3 linked regions of the Callithrix jacchus genome follow. Each later gene encodes a partner of the first gene's protein in a complex. Links are inferred from orthologs where the notes say so. Each region holds a gene or a part of one and is shown in the gene's direction. Other genes may lie near its edges.

Evidence for each region.
Region 2: the proteins of OSGEP (region 1) and LAGE3 are in contact, whole or in part, in a crystal structure (PDB 6GWJ), measured with the Homo sapiens proteins. The link is inferred for Callithrix jacchus from reciprocal best matches to the Homo sapiens genes OSGEP and LAGE3. Residues at the interface, in NP_060277.1 of Homo sapiens: Arg50, Ile53, Leu54, Asp55, Leu57, Gln58, Leu61, Gln69, Ala84, Val87, Ser88, Val91, Val92, Arg94, Thr95, Val96, Gln98, Leu99, Trp100, Asn101, Leu315, Ser318, Gly319, Val320; in NP_006005.2 of Homo sapiens: Glu76, Ile77, Gly80, Ser81, Leu82, Pro84, Asp85, Asp125, Gln126, Leu129, Val130, Arg132, Thr133, Met134, Arg136, Phe137, Gly138, Pro139, Pro140, Val141, Arg143.
Region 3: OSGEP (region 1) and GON7 share a complex: the UniProt entries of both Homo sapiens proteins name them as parts of the EKC/KEOPS complex. The link is inferred for Callithrix jacchus from reciprocal best matches to the Homo sapiens genes OSGEP and GON7.

What each region holds. Positions count from the first base shown.
Region 1 is NC_133509.1:55,177,689-55,181,650, reverse strand, and holds the start of OSGEP (tRNA N6-adenosine threonylcarbamoyltransferase), read left to right. Parts: upstream 1-1,162; 5' UTR 1,163-1,302; coding exon 1,303-1,417; intron 1,418-3,756; coding exon 3,757-3,876; intron 3,877-3,962. Other genes in the region: DNA repair nuclease/redox regulator APEX1, read right to left, coding at 1-90, 290-347. UniProt on the Homo sapiens protein: Component of the EKC/KEOPS complex that is required for the formation of a threonylcarbamoyl group on adenosine at position 37 (t(6)A37) in tRNAs that read codons beginning with adenine.
Region 2 is NC_133524.1:150,271,164-150,274,304, reverse strand, and holds LAGE3 (EKC/KEOPS complex subunit LAGE3), read left to right. Parts: upstream 1-1,183; 5' UTR 1,184-1,218; coding exon 1,219-1,406; intron 1,407-1,709; coding exon 1,710-1,838; intron 1,839-2,059; coding exon 2,060-2,174; 3' UTR 2,175-2,194; exon of another isoform or gene 2,195-2,448; 3' UTR 2,449-2,641; downstream 2,642-3,141. UniProt on the Homo sapiens protein: Component of the EKC/KEOPS complex that is required for the formation of a threonylcarbamoyl group on adenosine at position 37 (t(6)A37) in tRNAs that read codons beginning with adenine.
Region 3 is NC_133509.1:128,019,454-128,023,645, reverse strand, and holds the start of GON7 (EKC/KEOPS complex subunit GON7), read left to right. Parts: upstream 1-1,392; 5' UTR 1,393-1,450; coding exon 1,451-1,658; intron 1,659-3,649; coding exon 3,650-3,744; 3' UTR 3,745-4,192. Other genes in the region: putative E3 ubiquitin-protein ligase UBR7, read right to left, coding at 1,047-1,196. UniProt on the Homo sapiens protein: Component of the EKC/KEOPS complex that is required for the formation of a threonylcarbamoyl group on adenosine at position 37 (t(6)A37) in tRNAs that read codons beginning with adenine.

The sequences.
Region 1 (3,962 bases):
CTGGGGGGTCCTCATACAGGGCTGGGCCCTCTCCTGCTGCCTCTTTGTCGTTTTTCTTTGCGGCCGTCTTACTCTTCTTGGCCTCTGGCTCTATAAAATGAGTAATACATAGTGACAAAAAGTTGGTAGTTTCCAACCTCGATCCGGCGTTAACTATAAACCCAACAAAAGTGTGATGTTACCGCTACTTCTTCACAAACCCCTTAAAAAATGAGCGGCCTGTAGTTACCGTTATCAAGGAAATTCCCGCCGCAGCTTCTAGGAAGAGGGGCTTATTTCATTCTCTTACCCGTCTTGAGCTCTTCCCCGTCTTCTGCCACCGCTCCCTTTTTCCCACGCTTCGGCATTCCCGTAACGAACGCCCTTCGGAGGCACCTGTACCGTGTCGCCCACCGAAGGAGTATTTTTACCGCGTTGCCTACAGACGCAAATAAATGAAATCAGCTAAACCTGGGGAGAAGACTCCTCCCCTAAAGCGTCCCCGCACCAGGTCCCCGCTTTTCAAACCATGTTATGTCTCAATCCTTTCCCAGCCTCCGTGCATCATATGCCCTTCAGCCCCTCACCCACTAACAAGATCATTTCATAGTGCCTTTTACCCTACTGGCGAGATCTGCCCTCCAGCTGAGGATCTTAATTAAGGATCCTGACTCAAGCTTGCCGTTCAGACTGCCAGCGAAGCCCCTCTTACGAGCAGAAGAGTAACCCCGTATCTGCCTGCACTGGTCAGAACGCAGCACAGCTCCTCCTAACCCGAGCACAAAGAACGGTGCACGCTGTGCCCCCACGTGGGTAGCGGATCTGGTCACGTGATCCGAGACTCCAGTCACGTGGCAGAAGAATGTGCGTGATTGGTCTGTCTGGTACCACGTAATGGAGACACTTGGCCTAGCCTCCCTTCTCCCCAGGAGACTTAAGGCCCCAACCCTCCTTCGGGGTGTTTATTGTTGTGCCAGATGCACGGCACATTCTCTGAATGTGGCTTAAGATCCTAATGCTGTGCAAGAGGGGAAAAAAACAATAGCGAAGGCTGGGCTGGACCATAGGAAAGGGATAGAAAAACTGATAGGAATGTAAAGCACAGAGGCGGCTCGGCGTCCCTGGCAGTTAGGAAGACAGGTCCCTGGAGGGGCCTTGACGGGTCTCCGCTCGCGGGAGTTCTGTGGTGTCTCTCGCAGTGCTATCTGCAGTCTCGCCTTCTTCTTCTGTGCCCCGGAAAGCTGCGGCACAGCGCGGACTTGGAAGGACCTCCACTTCTTAGGTTGCTAGGAGTCCTGTCGGCGTTTTCTCCCCGGCTTCGCCATGCCGGCGGTGCTCGGTTTTGAAGGCAGCGCCAATAAGATTGGCGTGGGAGTGGTGCGGGATGGCAAGGTGCTGGCGAACCCGCGGCGGACTTATGTCACGCCTCCGGGCACAGGTGGGTTAGTAAGGGACTTGAGAGTTTTCCGCGCACTTCCCCGCACGGAATTAGTCTTCCATCTTCCTAAATACTAGTTAAGTGGGGCCTTGGGTGCATTGTCCGTTCTTACAGCTTTTGATCCGAGTCTCAGGGAAATTATGTGACTTTATTGACATCACAGGGCTGATAGCTAGAAGAGGTATAGGCACTTGGAGGTGGATCTGAGAAGTTAGTTTACCTTTTATTGAGCGCATTTTATGTGCTAAGCGTTTAGAAATAGATGTTATGATTTTGTTGTGGAATCAGATATATAAATAGATGTTTATTCTTCAGCATGATAAACAGTGTAATAGAGATGGATTCGAAACATTCTGTTTAAAAAATGCTTAGTAGGAATATAGATTCCAGTTGCCCTGAATATACACTCCTTTTTTTTTTTTTTTTTTTTTTTTTCAGACGCAGTTTCGCTCTTGTTACCCAGGCTGGAGTGCAATGGCGCCATCTCGGCTCACTGCAACCTCCGGCTCCCGGGTTCAAGCAATTCTCCTGCCTCAGCCTTCCACGTAGCTGGGATTACAGGCACACGCCACCATGCCCAGCTAAATTTTTTTGTATTTTTGGTAGAGACGGGGTTTCACCATGTTGACCAAGATGGTCTCGATCTCTTCACCTCATGATCCACCCGTCTCGGCCTCCCAAAGTGCTGGGATTACAGGCTTAGGCCACCGCGCCCGGCCCGAATATACACTCCTGTTAAAAAAAAAAAATGCTTTAAAAAAAATAGGATGGGGAGAGAGAAGAGTGGAAAAGACTCCCAGCTTACATGCCAGACAGAACTGGCTGGCTTTGTAATATTCATATTAAATATGTTCTGGACATTTGGTCTTTATTTTTATTTTTAATTTTAATTTAATTGTATTTTATTTTGAGATGGAATCTCACTGAGTCGCCCAGGCTGGAGTGCAATGGCGCGCTCTCGGCTCACCACAACCTCCGGCTTCCGAATTCAAGCAATTCTCCTGCCTCAGCCTCCCAAGTAGCTGGGATTACAAGAGTGCACCACCATGCCCGGCTAATCTTTGTATTTTTAAGTAGAGACTGGGTTTCATCATGTTGGTTAGGCTGGTCTTGAACCCCTGACCTCGTGATCTGCCCTGACCTCGTGATCTCACCTCCCAAAGTGCTGGGATTACAGGCGTGAGCCACTGCACCCGGCTTATTTTTTAATTTTTTTTGAGACAGAGTCTTGCTCCGTCGCCCAGGCTAGAGTGCAATGGCACCATCTCGGCTCACTGCAACCTCTGCCTTCCAGGTTCAAGTGACTCTTCTACCCCAGCCTCCCGAGTAGCTAGGACTACAGGTGTGTGCCACCATGCCCAGCTAATTTTTATTTTTTTAGTGGAGATGAGGTTTCACCATGTTGGCCAACCTGGTCTGGGCTCCTGACTTCAGGTGATCCTCCCAACTCAGCCTCCCAAAGTGTTGGGATTACAGGCTGAGCCACCACGCGGGCCTAGTCTTTGTTTTTAAGATAGGAATAATACATGTATCATTAAATCTTAAAGATAAGATGAAAGTACCAAACACATTACAACTTTTAGTTGATATTTTTAGTAAGCGATTATATCTTGCCTACTCATCCTTCAAACACTTGTATGCATAGGAGAGAGCAACTGACTTGCATGTATCTGAAAAACCTCCCTGAACAGGTGATATTGTGACAGATTACTCATTAGAAATATATATGTATATTTAACATTCACTCCTCTAGACACTTGGGCACTGGGAATACAAAGATAAATAAAATACTCAATGCTTTGAGATACTCATGATTAAGATGAGCAAACCAGGCCGGGTGTGGTGGCTCAACGCCTGTAATGTCAGCACTTTTGGAGGCCGAGGCGGGTAGATCACCTGAGGTTAGGAGTTCAAGACCAGCCTGGCCAACGTGGTGAAACCCTGTCTTTAAAAGAAAAAATATACATATTTTTTAAAAAAAAGAGCAAACCATAGAAAATTATAATGCTATAATTATTATGTTAAATAAATGACATCATCATCCATAGAGTTCTGTAGGGTCACAGAGAAAGATCACCAAAGAGTATGAGGTAGATACCACTGGCATTGAGTCCTGAAGGCTGAGTAGGAGTTGGGTAGGAAGAAGAGCATTTCTGAAAGTTGAACGGCCTATGTAGAAGCTGGAAAGAGTATGTATCTGAAAACCTGGAAGATAGGATGCTTAAGGAAAGTGAAAGGTCTCTTCCTACATCACTAAAACTCCTGTTGCTTTCTTTAACTTCCTACCCACCTTTGCTACAGAAAATCCCTGTGATCTCTGACCTATGTTCATTTTCTAGGATTCCTTCCAGGTGACACAGCCAGGCATCACCGAGCTGTTATCCTAGACCTACTACAGGAGGCACTAACAGAATCTGGAGTAACCTCTCAGGATATTGATTGCATTGCATACACCAAGGGTATGGCTGGGAGAGTGGTCAACGATGGAGGAATGTACCTGCAACCTGGCTAGGTCAAAATAGCCAACACCTTACCTCTGCCATCA
Region 2 (3,141 bases), on another chromosome or scaffold:
GTGGATAGCTACTGCACTCCAGTCTGGACAACATAGTGAGACCCCGTTTCTAAAAAAAAAAAAAGAAAAGAAAGAAAAGAAAAGTTACTTTTGTATTTGTTGTAGAGATGTGGTCTCACTATGTTGCCCATGTTGGTCTTGAACTCCTGGGCTTAAGTGATCCTCCTCCCTTGGCCTTCCAAAGTGCTGGGATTACAGGCGGGAGCCACTTAGCCTGCCCTAAAGTGGCATTTTCTTTCTTTTTTTTTTGTAGAGACGGGATTTCTCCATGTTGGCCAGGCTGGTCTCGAACTACCGACCTGAGGTGATTCCCCCACCTCCGCCTCACAAAGTGCTGGCATTACAGGCGTGAGCCACCGCGCCCGGCCTAAAGTGGCATTTTCATACTCATAGTTGTGCAGTCTGATTTTCCACGTTATATGAGACCTAGGCACAGCGCCAATACTTGCGTTCAAGGCCGTCATATTTCGCCTCAGTGCAGGCGTTCTGCTGACAGGCTCCCGCTCCGCACAGCGCCCCCACCCCGCTCTAAAATGCCTCCTCTAAAATGTAAATCCGACTCTTTACCGTCCACTGTGAAGCCCCCTCGGTTGGACCATGGGGTCGTGGGCAAGAGCAGTATCCTTGTGGGGGGGTATCAGACCCCGCCACCGTCCCTCCGCGAGTCGCTGCATGCACGTTAGTGCCACATCTCCGGGGGATATTGGGTACCGGTAAGAAACAGGGCGGGAAGCGCCCAGACACCCTCGGGCCTCACTAGGGCCTCACTAGGGCCTGCCCGGCCGAGGCCACAGGCCCTAGACGGCGCAGGCGCGCTGCGGTCACAAGGCGCAGTTAGGGGCGGAGCCTTGCAGGGTGCGCCTCTGGGCTAGGCGACCACGGGGTCTTCAAAACCCCGTCAGGGCTGGCTTCCTGGGGCCTGACTGACTGTGGGTCACTTTGCACTGACGGCCTGGGATCGAGTTACGCGCGAAGGGACAGAGTTTCTGGAGGAGACCGCGGCCTCTTAACCGCTGACTCGGTCTCAGAAGGCACCCGGCAGGGCCGCTTGGCGGGAACTGACCACGCGCCAGGCAGGCTTCCCAAGAACGAGTGCCGGCGCGTGTGGGCGGAGTCGGGCGCAGGGGGCGGGGATTCGGGAAAGGGACCGGGAGAGAGGGCGGGGCGTGGGGGCCTGCGCCTCGGGGGTGGAGTCCGAGCTGCGTGGCGGCGGAGGTCATGCGGTGCGCGAATGCACACGCTGGCGCAGGCACAATTGGCAGGGATGGCCAGGGTGGCCACAGCTGCCCCAGGGGCACGGACACAGCGGGAGCTCCGGCTGACGAACCTTCCCCACCGCACCCGCCAGGTCCTGGCAGAGACGCCGCATCTGCGGCCAGGGGTTCAGGAATACGGCCGCACATATTGTATTCTTTCCAAGGGGAGGTCGGGAACAGACTGGCGGCTGCCTGCGCCGGGGCGAGGGCTGGATTCGGGGAGGAAGAAAGGAGGGCGGGCGGCGACCGGGGTAGACGAGCAGGGGTGCTCGGAGGAGGGGAAGAAATAGAAATGGAAGGAGAGAAGCCCTGCCAGCGGTGGCCTGGGCCACGTGAGGAGTAAAGCGAATGACTCTAGGTAGGGTGACCTGAGGGGGGGCTTCAGAGGATCAAGAAGGCCTGAGACATAGGCAAAGTCGTATCAGATGGCACCTTAACCGAATGCCCCCCCAGCACCCTTAGTGTGCCTTTCCCGACCCCCTTGGAGGCGGAAATCGCGCATGGGTCCCTGGCTCCAGATGCCGAGCCCCACCAAAGGGTGATTGGGAAGGATCTCACAGTGAGCGGCAGGATCCTGACCGTGTAAGTTCTGAAAGGGGCTGGAGTTGGGGGAGGCAACCGATGGAGACGTAGGGGGCACCCATGGATGAACCCTAAGGAGCGCCAGGTGCGCCGGGCCGGTCTCCACCTGAGGGGCTGTCTCATGGGCTCCCGAGGCTTTGCTGTAATGGGTGCCTGAGCGGCAGAGTGACGGACCAGGAGTTGTCACCTCCAATTTTATTTTCTTTATCCCTCACTTTTAGCCGCTGGAAAGCTGAAGACTGTCGCCTGCTCCGAATTTCCGTCATCAACTTTCTCGACCAGCTTTCCCTGGTGCTGCGGACCATGCAGCGCTTTGGGCCCCCCGTTCCCCGCTAAGCCTGGCCTGGGAAAATGGGGTGAGGTCTAATATTGCGTCTCCCTAGGTAGGGCACCCAGCTTTCCCTAGGGCAGGAGTTCCCACAGTTGCTATTTTCCTGTGAAAGCCTCATGGTCGGCCTGTACTGGCCCGTGGGTGCTCAGGGGCCCCTTGTTTGATCTGGTTCTTAAATGTTTGTTACCACAGAAAATAAAACTGAGCTACTGTTCCAAGTCTGAGTTTATTTCAGCTACAGCACCTCCCAATATTCTAGTCATTGTGCTTCGGTTACAGGGGAGGTTCTAGAATCCAGATATTCAAGGAAATTGAAGACAATTTAGGAAATGGAAGAAAATGAAAATCAGCTGGGCTCTCATTCAGCATCAACTACTGTCAACATTTTGGAATCCTTCCTTATAGTTACATTTATTACAGTTGTTTTCCCCTGAAGTTAATAGTAATAAACGTGTAACTGTAATATACAGCATATAATTTTTGCAAGTTTAGCGTTAATTTTTTTTCCTGAATTTTAAATCTAACATGAGCTTCTTTCCTCTAACAGTGAAGAAAGTGCTGGGTCAACTGACTAGTGTTTGGGGAAGGAGTTGGCTCCCTGTAAATACACTAAACTCAGTCTTAGGACTCTTTTGTAGATTCAATTGGATTTTCTGAGAGTGGAAATAAAGAGGTACAACTGCGTATCCTCAGAAAACATGGAAACGGTTTGATCCTTTTTAGTCTTTCTCTGAAGATGTGCTGCATGGGACTGGAGCAGCTCTTATGGTAGACTTCAGTTTCCCGGCTATGGAGGCAACAAACACCATTCAGGGCACCCTGGCCAATGCTGCCCAGGTGAATATGAGCTTCTGTATCCTGGTGGGTGGGGACAGCTGCTAGTCCCTGTCCTGCTTGCATACTGGAGTCACCTTTCTTCCTTTCCTGCTGGGGTGATGTCTTTCCCTGGCCTTGGGTAGCTTCCTCACATGC
Region 3 (4,192 bases), about 73 Mb from region 1:
AGGTAACTACACTTCAAAAATAGTTTACATGTAGATTTAGAACTTTTTTCCCCTTTTTTTAAGGAAAGCAGAGGAAAAATGGTTTTAGTGGTGAGCAAAGACTTTAAAATACCTGGGGCTATGTGTGGATATCAGGTTTATTCAACACTTTGCAGTCAACAATGACAACTGGTTATTATGATCTCAGTTCATACCACATAATGAATGCAAGTCTCTCCCCTCATCTCTCCAGTGTTCCAGTTCACCCCTCTGCCTAGGTAACACTTCTTCCTACCAATTCTCATCCTTTTGTCAGTTTTCTTCCTACCCATCCTTTTCCATTTTTGTACCTTGAAGTATAGGGTGAGTCACTAAACACCACGTCACACCCCCTCAAATACTTGCTCACTCACAACGTCTTCCAAATGCCAAACAGATCCTTTTCTCCTCTCTCCCCTCCCTTGCCAGAGTCGCTTGCTGTTCTGTTTCCGGTCTATTTCCAGGGGAGGGAGCGGACTGCAAATAGACATGGGTACTTGCTTCATTTTGCCAAAAAAGAAAAAAAGAAAAAGTACTAGCTAGCACTTGTCAAACTAAATTGCAGAGGAACAAGCTGTCAAGGAGCTCACCGCAAATCCTTATGGATTTGAAAATCTCTTTAACCTGACTCTCCCATTCAGTTCCCTAATAAATAAATAAATATTAGGATGGGAAGAGCAAAAACAAAGATGTCTGTGACTGAGAGGTCACGGGGTGGTTTCGTGAAAAGCAGTGGGGCACCAAGAAGAAGCTGGAGAGGAGGGACAGCGGCTCAAGGACCCAACCAGGCGGGCCGGACGGAGTTAGAGAGGGGAGAGGGGGGCCCCTGCTGGACACAGGCTGAAGGGGGCCCAGGAGGTTGGAGCTAAAAGGGCAGAGTGGGCTTGGGGTGAGGAAGCGGCAGACGAACGGCGGCCCCGGACCACCACTGAGGAAACGACCGTGGCAGGCGGGAATAGGGACAGCCCAGCCGCGAAGGGGAGGTTCGGCGGGAGCGGGGTGAGACGAGGCCCGGGCCGCACGCCCACCTGCGAGTAGGAGCATTTCTCAGAGTCGCTGCCGCCCAGGACAGCGCACGCCTCATTCTCCAGCTCCTCGTCCTCCTCAAGGACGTCGACCAACGATACGACGGGCTCCAGCTCCGACTGCCGCCCAGCGGCGCCCTCAGCCCCGGCCATCCTCAACTGTCACCCGAACAGCGGCTCGGCCACGGCGGAGGCGGGAAAAGCGGCCGCGAGGGGCGTAGCCGGAGGAGGCGGGGCCCGAGCGCCAGAAACCAATGACAAAGAAAAAAAGCGAAGAAAGGAGGAGGAGCGACCTCCGACAAACGGAAGTCACTCCTCTCCCTTCTCCCGCCTGCGCCGGTCGGGGGCTGATTTCCGCCTCCGGCTGGCGCTTTCCCGTGTCGCGTTCTTTAAGCTTAGCGGTCGCCATGGAGTTGCTGGGAGAGTACGTCTGGCAGGAAGGGAAGTCGCAGAAGTTGCGGGTGTCGTGTGAGGAGCCGGGTGGCGGCGACCCTTTTCAGGGCCTGTTGTCTGGCGTGGCCCAGATGAAGGAGCTAGTAACGGAATTATTCGGCCCCCTGGTACAGGGGGAGGTGCAGCACCGGGTGGCGGCGGCTCCAGACGAGGCCTTGGACGGTGAGCTCTGAGACTGTGCTGCAACGACAGGAGGGCGGGGCGGGCGCCCAGGGGAAATCGGCTTGGGGAGCCTGTGTAGAGTGACAGACTTGGACAAAGTGAGCCTCGAGGAAAGAAGAATTGCATCTAAAAATTTTTGGTGGGTCGGGGCAGGTGGCTTACGCCTGTAATCCTAACACTTTGAGAGGCCGAGGCAGGAGGATCACTTGAGGTCAGGAGTTCTAGAACAGCCTGGGCAACATATCGAGACCCCATTTATATTATTATTTTAAGAATAAATTTAAAAGATAAAAATTGTTGGCATTTTCAACATATTTATCTGGATTGCTTCTACTCAAGCATTTCCACGACTCTTACCACTTTTTGATTTATATCACAAAAAAAGAAATAGTGCCAAATGCCTACTATTATGTGCCAAACCCTGAGCTGAGCCCTGGAGGAAGAATGAGGTGAATGTGGCTGAGTTCCTACCCTCGTTAAACACAAGGGGATTAGACAGGCAGACACTCTATTAAGAGTGAAAGTGATTCTGTGGCCCTCTGTAACTATTGCAAACCCAGAGACCCCAGGAAGGCTTCAGAGATGACAAGACTTTTGAGCTGGGTGTTGAAGAAAATAGAAAGTTTTACCAGGTGTTAAACTATGTTTGGAAGAGTGCAGTGCAGTCTATCGCAGAGTAGGAACAGGTTCCAAAGATTGAGACAGACTTAATATTAACACGTATTGACTCCCAGGGACTCTCTTGCTATATTCCGGTTTTGTAGGTGCAGTTTGAAAGTAGAAACATGAAGTTTAACTGCATTAGTGTTTTTAAACTGTCTTGAATGCAAAACTAGACAGATTCATTTGGACTGTCCTGAACTGAAAAACCCAAAAACTAGATATTGGAGTCAGGATTTACAATTCTTTAAGAAAAGCCTAAACTACTTTCCTTCCATCTTGGGAATTAACATCTTGGTAATATGGATGTTGGCTATACTCAAAAAGAACAAGAAGTGTTGGCTGGAATGTGAAGAAATTGGAGACCTTGTACATTGTTGGTGGAAATGTAAAATGGTATAACCACTGGGAAATAGAGTTCGGTAGCTCCTCAAAAAGTTGACCTGAAGTTACCACATGACCCAGCAGTTCCACTGGTAGCCCTCTCAAGAGAACTGGAAACATGTTCACACAAAAACTTACACATGAATATTCATAGCAGCATTATTTATAGTGGCTACAATGTGGAAACAACAATTGGCTGGGCTTGGCATTGCACCTTTAGGAGGTGGAAGTGCATTAACAAAATGTGATCTGTCCCTACAATGGAATATTACTAGCAATAACATGTAATGATGTATTGATATATGCTACAACATGAATGAACCTTGAAAACATTATGCTAAGTGAAAACCAGATGCAAAGGGTACATGTTATATGATTTTGTTTATAAATGTACAGAAGGGGCAAATCCATAGAGATAAGTAGATTAGTGAGCCGAGTGCAGTGGTGGGCACCTGTAGTCCCAACTACTCTAGAGGCTGAGGCAGGAGGATCACTTGAACTGGGAGTTTGAGTCTAGCCTGGGCAGCATAGCAAGACCCTGTCTCTAATAAAAATTAAGGGGAAAAAAGGTAGGTTAGTGGTTGCCAAAGGCTGAGGGGAATGGAAAGTGACTGCTAATGGGCATATCATTTATTTTTGGAGTGATGAAAGTGTTCTAGAATTAGATAGTGGTGATGGTTGCACAGGCTAGTGAATATACTAAAAACCACTAAGCTGTACACATTAAAAGAGTGGATTTTATTATGAATGAATTGATATCTCCAAAAAGGAAAGTGATAGACAATAAAGATTTTAAACACTGAAATTCTCAAAATCATTTTAATCTAAAATGTGCATGGTTTTATTAGTTCCTAAAGTGAAATGGTTTTACTCTCAACCACTTTAGCTATATATATTTCTTTCAACCACAGAACATATTGTCATACAACAAATATTTATTTTAAAAGGTGATGATGAAGATGATGCAGAAGATGAAAATAACATTGATAACGTAACTAACTTCGATGGACCATCTGCAAAACGGCCAAAACCACCATCTTAACAATAGCCTTTATGATATTTAAAAGACTGCTATTCTATCCTAATTGTCACACTGGGACATTTAAGGAAGACTTATGCTCTAATTTGGAAAAGTGTTTGTGTTCTTCTCCTGGGACAATTTTGTCAAAGAGAAAACTAGTTTTTCTCTTTCTAGCAAAGATAGTAAAGGTTTGGAAATAAAATCCATTTTCTTGAGAAATAATTTCAGACCATGAAAAATAGAACATAATGTATAAAATCCTCTTAAGTTGGCAACTGAATTTTTATCATTGTTTTCTATTTTTAAAATGACCATTGAATTGTGTGATGTCTACATCTTTTAACTTCTGCTTCTGTTACAACGAGTGCATGTCACGGTTCATAGGCAGTAACATTTCAGAGAACTAACATGAACAAGTGGTGAAAATTGGGCATTAAATGTAAAAATAACAGTTCTTCATAAATAGAAG